2 linked regions of the Rattus norvegicus genome follow. The main gene of each other region encodes a partner of the protein of the gene in region 2 in a complex. Links are inferred from orthologs where the notes say so. Each region holds a gene or a part of one and is shown on either strand. Other genes may lie near its edges.

Region 1 (5,254 bases), on a different chromosome or scaffold from region 2:
GCCCGCAGGGATCTGGAGTCAAGAGCTCTAAATGGAAACTGAAAGGCACGCACAGCAGCACGGCATCAGGGCACCTCTGATGGAGCGTCCCTGACCTCTGACCTCTGGTGCAGCGAAGCTGGCTATGTAGGGGACTGACACCCAGCAGGCAGCTGGTTGTACTCCCTGAGATGCAGTTCTAGGGGCCAGTCCTGGCTGCCCCAGGCTCCTTACCTGTTTGTGAGCTTCTGTGGTACAAGCTTTTTTGTAGGGCCGGATCTCCTCAGAGCCAAATCCTGGGATCCACATGTTCCATTGGCGCTCTGCAAAGAAGACACCAGCACAGAGCTGAGGCCCCAGCCAGACGGGCAGTGAAGCTGCAGCAAGCAGCAAAGACAGACTTGGACTGGGTTATACACACGTGGCCTCTGCAGGCCTCTTCACTGCTGTTAACACTGGGTTTACTACACACGCATGGAGTTATGTGTTTCATCTGCATGTATGGATGTGTATGGTGTGCAAGCTTGTCCCCAAAGAAGCCAAAAGAGGGCGCTAGATTCCCCGGATCTGGAGTTAAAGACAGTTAGGAGCCACCATGTGGATGCTGGGAATCAAACTTGAGTCCTCAGGAAAAACATCAAGTATTCTTTTTTTTTTTTTTTTCTTCTTTTTTTCGGAGCTGGGGACCAAACCCAGGGCCTTGTGCTTCCTAGGCAAGCGCTCTACCACTGAGCTAAATCCCCAACCCCAACATCAAGTATTCTTAACCACTGAGCCATCTCTCTAGCTTTTATTTTTATTTTTTAATTTGTTTTTTAATATATGAGAACACTAAACCCATCTTCAGACACACCAGAAGAGGGCATCAGATCTCATTACAGATGGTTGTGAGCCACCATGTGGTTGCTGGGAATTGAACTCAGGACCTCTGGAAGAGCAGTCAGTGCTCTTAACCACTGAGCCATCTGTCCAGCCCCCATTTTTATATTGCGGAGGCAAAGATTAACATGACCTGAGCGCACAGTGACCTCCCTGCCTGTACTAGCTGCGTAAGTGCTGGGATGATGATGCTATGCTGGCTACTGCCTATCTTACTTCTTATGTTTTTAAATCTTTATTATGTTTTTATTTATTTTATTTTTGGCTAGGCATGGTGACAAATGATTTTAGTTCCAGCAGTAAGGAGGCAGAGGCGGAGGCGGAGGCGGAGGCGGGGGCGGGGCGGGGGCGGGGGCGGGGGCGGGGGCGGGGGCGGGGGCGGGGGCGGAGGCGGAGGCAGAGGCAGAGGCAGAGGCAGAGGCAGAGGCAGAGGCAGAGGCAGAGGCAGAGGCAGAGGCAGAGGCGGATGGGTCTATGTGAGTTCCAGGCCAAAATGATCCTTTCTTTCTTTCTTTTTTTGTTTTTCAAGACAAGGTTTCTCTTTGTAACATGCCCTAGCTGTCTAGGGAGGTGACACTTTCTTTTAAAAAAGTGTACAAAAGGGGTTGGGGATTTAGCTCAGTGGTAGAGCGCTTACCTAGGAAGCACAAGGCCCTGGGTTCGGTCCCCAGCTCCGAAAAAAAGAACCAAAAAAAAAAAAAAAAAAAAAAAGAAAAAAAAAGAAAAAGTGTACAAACACACTTCGAGAGAAAAGTTCCACTCAGAAGGGTTTACCTAGACACCACTGTTCCTTTCTATATTTTTACCCTATTTTCATATTTAATTACAACATGAGATTTCTTTTTTTTTTTTTTTTTCCGGAGCTAGGGACCGAACCCGGGGCCTTGCACTTGCTAGGCAAGCGCTCTACCACTGAGCTAAATCCCCAACCCCGGAGATTTCTTTAAATCAAAAAAATACATTGAATACAATATTACAGGCCTAAAAATTCAGCTCCTAACTTGCCCCTAGTTGTATACAAGTGGCCCCTTTATCATTCCTCCATTAGTGTTCCCAGAGCATAGGAGACACGGTTTGTCTTGTAACTCTAGACAGACCAATGACTTAAATCAAACTGGGGTTGTATTATATATGCGTGTGTGTGTATGTGTGTGTGTATGTGTGTGTGTGTGTGCACGCGCGCACAAGTGCACATGCTCCTGTGTGCCTGGGGGTTAGAGGACAGCTGGTGCCTTCCTCTCTAACTGCGCACCTTTTTCTGAGACAGGATCTGTCACTGAACCAGAAGCACATAGTTTTCCAGACAGGCTGGTCGCCAGCAGCCCAGAAGCCCTTCTGCACATCCCGACTTCCTAGGGCTTTGAATACAGGAATGCACAGCCCTGACTTATTATGTGGGTGCATGGAGGTCATCACGCATCCACGGCAAGGGCTCTTACCCACTGAGCCATCTCCTTGGCCCTTAAACAGAAATTTAATGACTTTATGATTGTATGTTACATCTGATGCACATACATATGATGAGAGTTATTGTGTTCAGTTGTAGAATATGCCCATTTTTTTCCAGTTCATCAATATAATCAGTAGTTCTCATAATTACCTTCAAGTGAGACATTATGATCCTCACTTTCTGAAAAGGGAGACAGACTCAGAAATCAAGCACAAAGGTTGTTGTGCAATGGAAAGTGGAGGGATGTTTTAAATCTGATGTCCTGGGGTATCCCCCTTCCATAAAGGCCTTTCTCTCTTCTATTCAGAAGGTGCTGAATGGTAAATTCCAGACCTAAAGGTCTGGTTGTGGCATGAAGGTTTCTCTGACATTTGTCAGAGGTCCTACCAACGAGTTATGAGGCTACTTCAGGGAGAAAGGAAACAACATACCTAGATGCAGCTGGACATCTTTCACCTCCAGGGTGCTGGACTTGCGGTGCCGAGCGAGCTGGCAGGCAGCTGTCACCACACTCTCGATAAAATCATCAGCGATCTGCAGCAGCATCTGGAGAGGTGGAATGGGAGATAAGCCAGTGGCAGGGCAGGCGCCTGCTGCTGGGACAGCGGTGTGCTTTCTGAGTCTCATTTGGCAAGATTTGCTTTCTTTCTTTCTTTTGTTTTTCTTTTTCTTTTTTCTTTTTTTCGGAGCTGGGGATCGAACCCAGGGCCTTGCGCTTCCTAGGCAAGCGCTCTACCACTGAGCTAAATCCCCAACCCCCAGCCCCATATTTTTATTTTCTATTCATCCATGTAGGTGTACGCATATGCCCCATGTGTGAGGATGCCCCAGGAAGCCAGAAGAGGGCACTAGATTATTTGCAGGTGGTGTTAAGGCAGTTTGTAAGGTTCAGTAAATGCTCTTAACTGCTGAGCCATTTCCCAGACCCAGCATCTCTGCTCCAACTCACCACGATGCCTCAACCGCAGGGACAGGTGCCCGAGTCCACCTTACCTCTTCCACATCTTCATCCAGCTGCTCGTTAGGATCCACTTCTCTTACTAGGTCTTGTAACTTCTTCTTGGTCAATACCTATAGTGAATTGAGGAGAGAGTTTTCAGAAGTATTAAGGAAGCAAATCTCATTATGGCTACAGAAGACATGATGTCAAATTGCTGGGTTTAGTCTCGTTCAGACAGCCCTACCTTGTGGTACAGCTATAAAGGTACAATCCAGACAAAAGCTGTCATGGGAAAGAGAGCAAGAGCGGTTTGGAGGGAGAGGGGAATCGTTTAAAGCGGAGGCCCGCGTCCCACTGTCGGGCAGTTTATGCAGTTCCAGCTTTCACCCTCTTCTCTGCATCTGGCTAACAGTTCGAGCTGGGTGTGGTGGGTGGCACAGATCTTTTTTTTTTTTTTTCCAGAGCTGAGGACCGAACCCAGGGCCTTGTGCTTGCTAGGCAAGTGCTCTACCACTGAGCTAAATCCCCAGCCCCAGCACAGATCTTTAATTCCAGCACCAGGTAGGTGGAGGCAGGCAGACACCTAAGTTTGAGCCATCCTGCCCTACAAAGTGAATTCCAGGACAGCTCTGGCTACACAAAGAAACATTGTCTCAAAACAAACTTACACACACACACACACACACACACACACACACACACACACACACACACACACGCGCGCGCGCGCGAGAAACAGAAAAGAGAAGAAAAGAAAATGAAAAAGAAAAATCTAACAGTTCCATGAGGACAACCAGTGTGTGGCCATCTCTGTAACCTAAGTAATGTGGAGCAGCTACAGTTAATCTCCCTCTTCTCCGCGGAAAGGCAATCGCATCTGGATTACATTAAAACATGACGAGGAAGCTCAAGACTCAGCTTGGTCATACACTGCTTGTCTGACTTGATCCTGCTGTAGATCCCAGCATCAGGAATAGAAACAAACAACAAAACGCAACAAACAGTCTGCCCGCCCCTCTATGAGAACTGCACTGCTCCCACAATGCAGCTCTGGTTGTCCTGGGGCTCACTCTGTAGACCAGGCTGGCCTTCGACTGGGATCTGCTTGGCTCTGCCTCCTGAGTGCTAGGATTAAAGGCTTCTCTTTACCGTAATTTAGGGGTATGTTGTGTTTGCACGTGCCACAATGCATATGTAGAAGAGGATAATTTGAGGAACTAGGATCTCTCCTTCCACCATAGATTTAGAGACTGAACTCTGAGTATGAAGCTTGGCAGCATGGGTCTTTACTGGCTGAGCCATCTTGGTGGCCCTCTGTGTCTTTGAGACAGGGTCCTGACTTGCTTTGTAGTAGAGGATGAGGAATGACCGACTTCCCTCCTCCCACCTCCCAAGTGCTGGGATCACAGGCGTGACCACCACACCCACTTTCTCTCTCTCGCTCTTTTCCAGCGGCTTCAAGAGTCAACGCAGGTTGGTTTCTGCTCCTTTCCCAAGCAGCTCAGCTAGTCCTTCGACCCACTTCCTTGAATCGCTCCTCACCCACCCTATGCAGCCTACAAGATCCAAGGCAAAGGTTATACTTCTTTTCTTGTTGCCCTAGAAGGTGGAATCAGGGTCACAGGTTCAGAGAGGGGATCCCTGCTGACATTGACAGCAGCAGTAAGATAAACTACCAGAAGGAACAACTGAAGAGAAGACTCTCATTTTACGAATATGGAAATACAGTACAGTATAGACACTATACTATACTATACTATACTATTACAGATAGCTATGCTGTATAGGTAACTCTGAAATATGTGCTACTGCTGAGTGTGCTGGTTCACTCCTGTCATCCCAAGGCTTGGCAGGAGGCTTGCCTATGACCTGAGGCTGGCTGGGGCTACGCAGTGACTGGGGTTCCAGTCACTCTGGGCTACAGACTAAAACACTAGCTCAACAAAATAAAACCAGAACTCCAGCCACCTGCCATATGAAAGCATGTTATTACATGTGTTTATGTG
Region 2 (5,484 bases):
TAGGAAGTTGGGAGGCCAGGTTGGGCTTCATACTCAGAAAGCAAAACACAAAAATGAATGTGGGCTAGTCACACTCAGTTCAGCTGTATGGGGCAGAAAACAGGCCCAAGGACCTGATAATTTTTCCTCCAGGCAGGTTCACTAAAGCTTTGTAGTGTGCAGTGTGCAGCTATAAGCCCAGCAGCCTGAAACAGAAGGTTCCCCAGTTGTGAAACCAGTCTGGGCTTCACAGTGAGACGCCCATCTCAAAACACCCAGTCACATCCACCAATTTTAAATTTCATTGAGTCAGAGGTTGTGGTATTTGGGGAAGGAAGGGTTAGAGGCGGGGATGTATCTGTGCTGCACTCTCTTATGGAGGAACAGAGAAGGGGCTGGGGTATAGACCAGTGTGCAGTGTTTGCTTAGCACTGAGCCCTGCCTTTGATCCTCAGCCACGTAAACAATGTGGTTGTGCACACCTGTAACCCTAGGCCTGGAGGAAGCAGAGGCAGGAGAATCAGGTTCAAAGTCATCCTCAGCTGTTTGACTGTCTCAAGAGCAGTACAAACAGAAAGGCCCAGGGTAAGACACTGCCCCCTGGGCTTGACTGTTCTTTCCTCTTTGCAGCCAAGCTCTCAACATTCATCTGCACCTTCCCCTGCCTCGAGGGGTCGTCAGGTCAGCATGCTTGCTGGGAAGACTCCCTGGGGTAGAGCCTCTGCTCTACCAAGGAAGCAGCCACTTAGTTTAGCATATTCCCTGTCCACCATCCAGCCTGTCTCAGGAACTGAGCAGCCCAGATCAGAAGGCAGAGCTGGGAGAAGGAGCCCTTCACTGGGACCTGCCCCGGGTACAAGGAGGTTCTCAACTCTCTGGCCTTTTCCAGGTATGCACTGTTGATCCCCACACACCTTCTCTAGAACCCAGTCCTCCTGCTGTCTCACATCTTCCTTGACTTTCACTTACAGATGGATGTCCCTGGCTTGCAGGGACCTCCCAGCCGTGGGCCGTCCCCCTCAGCACCCCCCTTGGGGCTGGGTCCTGCCAGCCTCTCCTTTGAACTCCCTCGGCACACATGCTCTGGCCTCCAGGTTCGATTCCTCAGACTGTCCTTTAGCGCCTGTGGTAATGCTAACCCTCACAAGTGGGTTCGACATCTAAGCCACAGCAACGCCTACGTAATTCGGATTTGAATCTCCTCAAAGAAGGATATGGACAGCAATGTCAGCAGGCATTTTCTTTCTTGTGACTTTGGATCTGGACAGGAAGGTTCCACAGACTCACCCCTTCTGTTTTGTGACACAGGGAGGCTCACAAAGTTACAAATCCAACTTTTATTCTGAGGAACTTACTGTACAGAATCTAAAAAGAAAGTCACTGGGGAAAACATCTTTCTTCTTCCTCCCTCACACGTTGTTTGTGTGTGTAGGAATCTGCAGAAGAGAGGAGGTCAGCACATGTGACAATATCACAGAGCAGGCTGGGGAGAGCTAGGTCCAGTAGGCTGGGAGCCATTAGCCTTTGGAGTCCCTGGAGCTGGAGGGGGGCTGTCCCCAGTTTCCTGCTTCCCCCCACAGAGGGCACTGCCCCCAAGTGGAGATGGTGAAGAAGATGAAGGTGGGACTGGAGAAGGATGAGAAGGAGGGCCTCCTTTGCCTTCCCCTGTTGGGGGAAGAGAGACCACAATGTATTTCTGAACACTGCCAGGACCAGCAGGGGCTGTGCTTGGGGGTGCAGTGGTAGCAGTGGAGACCAGCTTGACAATGGGCTGCACGCTGGGAACTGTGGTGGTGACAGGAGAGGTAGTGGTAGAGCCTGAACCAGGAGCTGAGGTGCTGAGGGACAGGACCTGAGGGAGAAAGGGGGGCCTTGGGTCAGGTTGTCCTTGCTTCTAGAATCTTCTTCCAGGTACCTGCTGTTGGCCCTTGCCCTCTGCTCCCACCTTCCCTTGTAGTCCCCAGTGAATGCATGGTCAAGATTGCTGCTAGCTCGAGGCCTCCAAGATCCTGATAAGTGGCTCTAGTACGGTATGAGTTTGAGCCTGAAAGGATTAGGTCACAACTTGGAGGTTTCCCCAGGGTGCTCCTCACATCCTGGCTATACATACCTGCTGGGTTGATGAGGCACTGGAAGATGAGGACATTACAATAAACTTCGTTGGAGGAGGAGAAGGCTGAGGAGGGGCAGCAGCTCTTGCAGACACCAGTGTCTGGACAGGCAAGGCAATAGAGCCAGGGACCTTCAATAAGCCAGGGGTACGAGGGCCTGGCTGAGGGGCCTGTGAGAGGGTCAGTGTGGGCCGAGGCTATGAAGAGACACAGGAAGAAAATGTTAACACTGGGGGTAGGAGTGGGGTCCAGTTCCCTGAGACTGCTGTCTGTGGCAAGTCCCTGTATGTTTCCTGTCAGCCTCCTCCCTCACAGCTGACCTGTGTGATGGTGAGTGTGGTCCTGTTGACCTGCTGAGCTTGAAGAGCGGCCTGGGCCCTGGCCTTCACCACATGGGAGCAGAGAAGGGGCCCAAGGGACCCAAATTCTCCCCGGTAGGCATCCTGATTGTCAGGTGGAGGGCGCAGCTTCGCCAATACTGGGGCACAGTGTTTCTGCAGAGGAGGCAGAGTGAGGGCTGGAATCCTTCCGCAAAGGTGAGAGAGGAGCTCATTCACTGCTGCTGTTAGAAGCCACAGTGAAAAGCTATGGTTCTACAGGGAATGCATCAGAGCTGGGTGTGGTGGTTCATGCTTGTAGGTCTAGCATTTGAGCTGAAGCAGGAAGATCAGTGGGTTCTAGGCTAGCCTGAGCAGGTGGCATATCTCAAAAGTGAGGGCCAAGGAGAATACAGCTCATTGGTAGAATGCTGTGCAAGCATGCATGTGGCCCTAGGTCCAATTCCCAGCAGAAAAACAAAAAGAATGGGGGTTGGGGAGGACTGGAGAGGGAGCAGAGGTGTAGAGTGTCCGCTCAGAGGGCAGTTGTTCACTACCCTCTAGGACTCCAGGAGATCTGTCACCTTCCTCTGGCTTCTGTGGGCACCTGTAACCATGGTGCACATTCTTACACATACAAAACAATGTTTTACAAATAAAAAGGAATGATTTCAGTGGATATGGCGGTGCATTCCTGTAATCTCTGCACTCAGAAGAGAGGGAACAGGATTGCCACAAGGTCAGCATGGTGCACAAGTTCTACACTAGTCAAGGCTATACAGCAAGATCACATCTATAGGAGTCAACACATTGAAAATTAAGACTATTTCCTTCCATAAGGATCAACTGATATGAACAGGATTTCCTGTATCTGCTGATGATATATATAGTGATCATTGCCTTGTGTGGCGGGAGCTGTAGGGTGAGACAAGCAGGATGAGGCAGTGCAGTGCAAAAGTTACTGACTACCAAGGCTTTCTGTTTGAGCCTAGCTTTCCATGTGCACAACAGTGCCGGCCTCTCAAGAATAAAAGTAAAATGTGCTTCGTGCTTGCTAAACATTGTAGCCGTGTTTGTGGGAGCTGAGGGCGGGGCTGGGGTGAAGAAGGAGAGGGTATGGTGGGGGTTCGTCACCAGGAGAAGGCTCTGAACATGGTCTGCTCCGATACGGTCGATGTTGCTCAGAACAGGTCCGTCCAAGACACTTCGGATCCGCTCCCCTTCCTGCTGCAGCCTTGGCAGAATTAGGGTCTTAATCACCTGGTGGGAAGGAAGGGGAAAATCCCAGGCTAAAAGGTCACCAAAGGCCCCTCCCACAGCACGTGTAACTGCCCCTCTCCCGGCTCTTCCTAGACTAACATCATGCCCCAGCTCTGCCAGGCCTGCAATGGAGCCATATCGAGTTGTCCATGGAGTCTTCTCATCCACCCAGCTCTGTAGAGGAAAGAAGAAAATCCCAGATGAAAAGGTTTAGAAAGGCTAACAGCTAAACCAGGCCTGGTGGTACATGACTGATCCTGGCACACAGGAGGTAAAGATAGGAAGATCGGAAGTTTAAAACCATCCTCAGGCTGGAGATTGGCTCAGTGGTTAAAAGCACAGACTGCTCTTCCAGAGGTCTTGGGTTCAATTCCTAGCAACCACATGGTGGCTCACAACCATCTGTAATGGGATCTGATGCCCTCTTCTGGTGTGTCTGAAGACAGCTACAGTGTACTCACATAAAAAAGCTATCCTTGGCACATGACACACTGTTTCAAAACAGAGAAGGCTGCCAGGCAGTGGTGACACATGCCTTTAATCCCACCACTCACAGAAGGTAGGTAGGCAGGCAGGCAGGCAGGTGAGTCTCTGAGTTCAAAGCCAAGCCTGGCTTACAGCAGGACTACACAGAGAAACTCTGACTCAAATAAATAAATAAATCTGGAAAAAGGAGGAAAAAACCCTAACTGCAAAAGATTGATACCACCTATTAAACACAAAACCTATGTCTTAAGACATAAAGGTTCAGGCCCCTTAGGGCCAGTCTCCCTGGATCCCGTCTCTGCTCCATGTTCCGGGGATCGTTTCCACTGGGTGAAGCTCTCTTTCACACAGATAGCCCTAAAGGGGTGATTTGCATCATCTGATACATTTTTGGTGCTTACCTTGGTAAAGGTCTTGGTGATTCGGGATTGGATGTTGTTGGTGGTTGTGCTGAAATGCTTACAGATCTGGGCCACTAGACGGGCAGCAAAATCCCGGAGTGCCCAGTGATTGTCCACATCTGGCCGCAGGCACAGCTGTCTGCTCACAATGCAGGTCATTACTGCAGGAATCAGCTCGTGCACCTGAGAGAGAGCAGGCCCTGTCAGCCGGTTCTGATAGCAGACCTCCTGTGGTGAGGCTGGCAGAAGAGCCCTGACCCTAGAAGGGAAAGTAGGCGGCAAGACCACTCACATATTTCTCAAGATACAGTGTGGGGTTGTCCATCAGGGCCTTAACCATTCGCATCAAGTAGATGAGCAAGGCCAGGTTATTCTGAACCACATTCACACGGACCTACGAGAGGGAAAATTGAAGATGGGTGCAGAGAGACCCCTCAGATGAACTTCCCTTGGATCCCCCTCCCTTGGAGCCTCATCATGGGTCTGGCCTTCCCCAGTTCTCTCACCCCCTCTGAGATGAAGGTACTAAACCGTGGTAACATCTGATAGAGTCCAGGATCTGTGGCAATGCTCTGCAGAGCTTCCTGTGGGAGGGGGCAATGGTTAGGTGGGAGCATTTACTGTAGAAAAAAAAAATTACCATTGTTCCGGAAGATTCTTCCTCTGTGTGAAGGGGGGCCAGAGGGCAGGCTTACCGCTCTCTTGGCCTCACAGGATCCCACACAGGCTTCTGTGATCTCCTTGTAGTACAGCTGCTGCTCCACGGACAGCTCATGGATGCTGCGGGGCTTCAGGCGGAAAGGGGCCCCTTCCAGCAAGGGAGGTGCCTTCTTCTCTTTTCCTGTGTGAATCGGGAGAGAGCTCAGTCAGTACAGTGCTTGCCTTAAAACACACAAGGTAGACTGCACACGAGGAGGATTGCTAAGACGA

Evidence for each region. Proteins that work in one complex are often made in the same cells at the same time.
Region 1: Taf6 (region 2) and Taf12 share a complex: the UniProt entries of both Homo sapiens proteins name them as parts of the TFIID basal transcription factor complex. The link is inferred for Rattus norvegicus from reciprocal best matches to the Homo sapiens genes TAF6 and TAF12.

What each region holds. Positions count from the first base shown.
Region 1 is NC_086023.1:149,765,190-149,770,443, reverse strand, and holds part of Taf12 (transcription initiation factor TFIID subunit 12), read right to left. Parts: intron 3,380-5,254; coding exon 3,302-3,379; intron 2,855-3,301; coding exon 2,740-2,854; intron 303-2,739; coding exon 214-302; intron 1-213. UniProt on the Homo sapiens protein: The TFIID basal transcription factor complex plays a major role in the initiation of RNA polymerase II (Pol II)-dependent transcription.
Region 2 is NC_086030.1:22,168,269-22,173,752, forward strand, and holds the end of Taf6 (transcription initiation factor TFIID subunit 6), read right to left. Parts: intron 5,396-5,484; coding exon 5,250-5,395; intron 5,139-5,249; coding exon 5,061-5,138; intron 4,949-5,060; coding exon 4,847-4,948; intron 4,738-4,846; coding exon 4,555-4,737; intron 3,842-4,554; coding exon 3,767-3,841; intron 3,668-3,766; coding exon 3,542-3,667; intron 3,467-3,541; exon of another isoform or gene 2,585-3,466; coding exon 2,411-2,584; exon of another isoform or gene 2,288-2,410; coding exon 2,090-2,287; exon of another isoform or gene 1,832-2,089; coding exon of another isoform or gene 1,645-1,831; coding exon 1,357-1,644; 3' UTR 1,302-1,356; downstream 1-1,301. Other genes in the region: Ap4m1 (AP-4 complex subunit mu-1), read left to right, coding at 610-660, 757-868, 951-1,175. UniProt on the Homo sapiens protein: The TFIID basal transcription factor complex plays a major role in the initiation of RNA polymerase II (Pol II)-dependent transcription.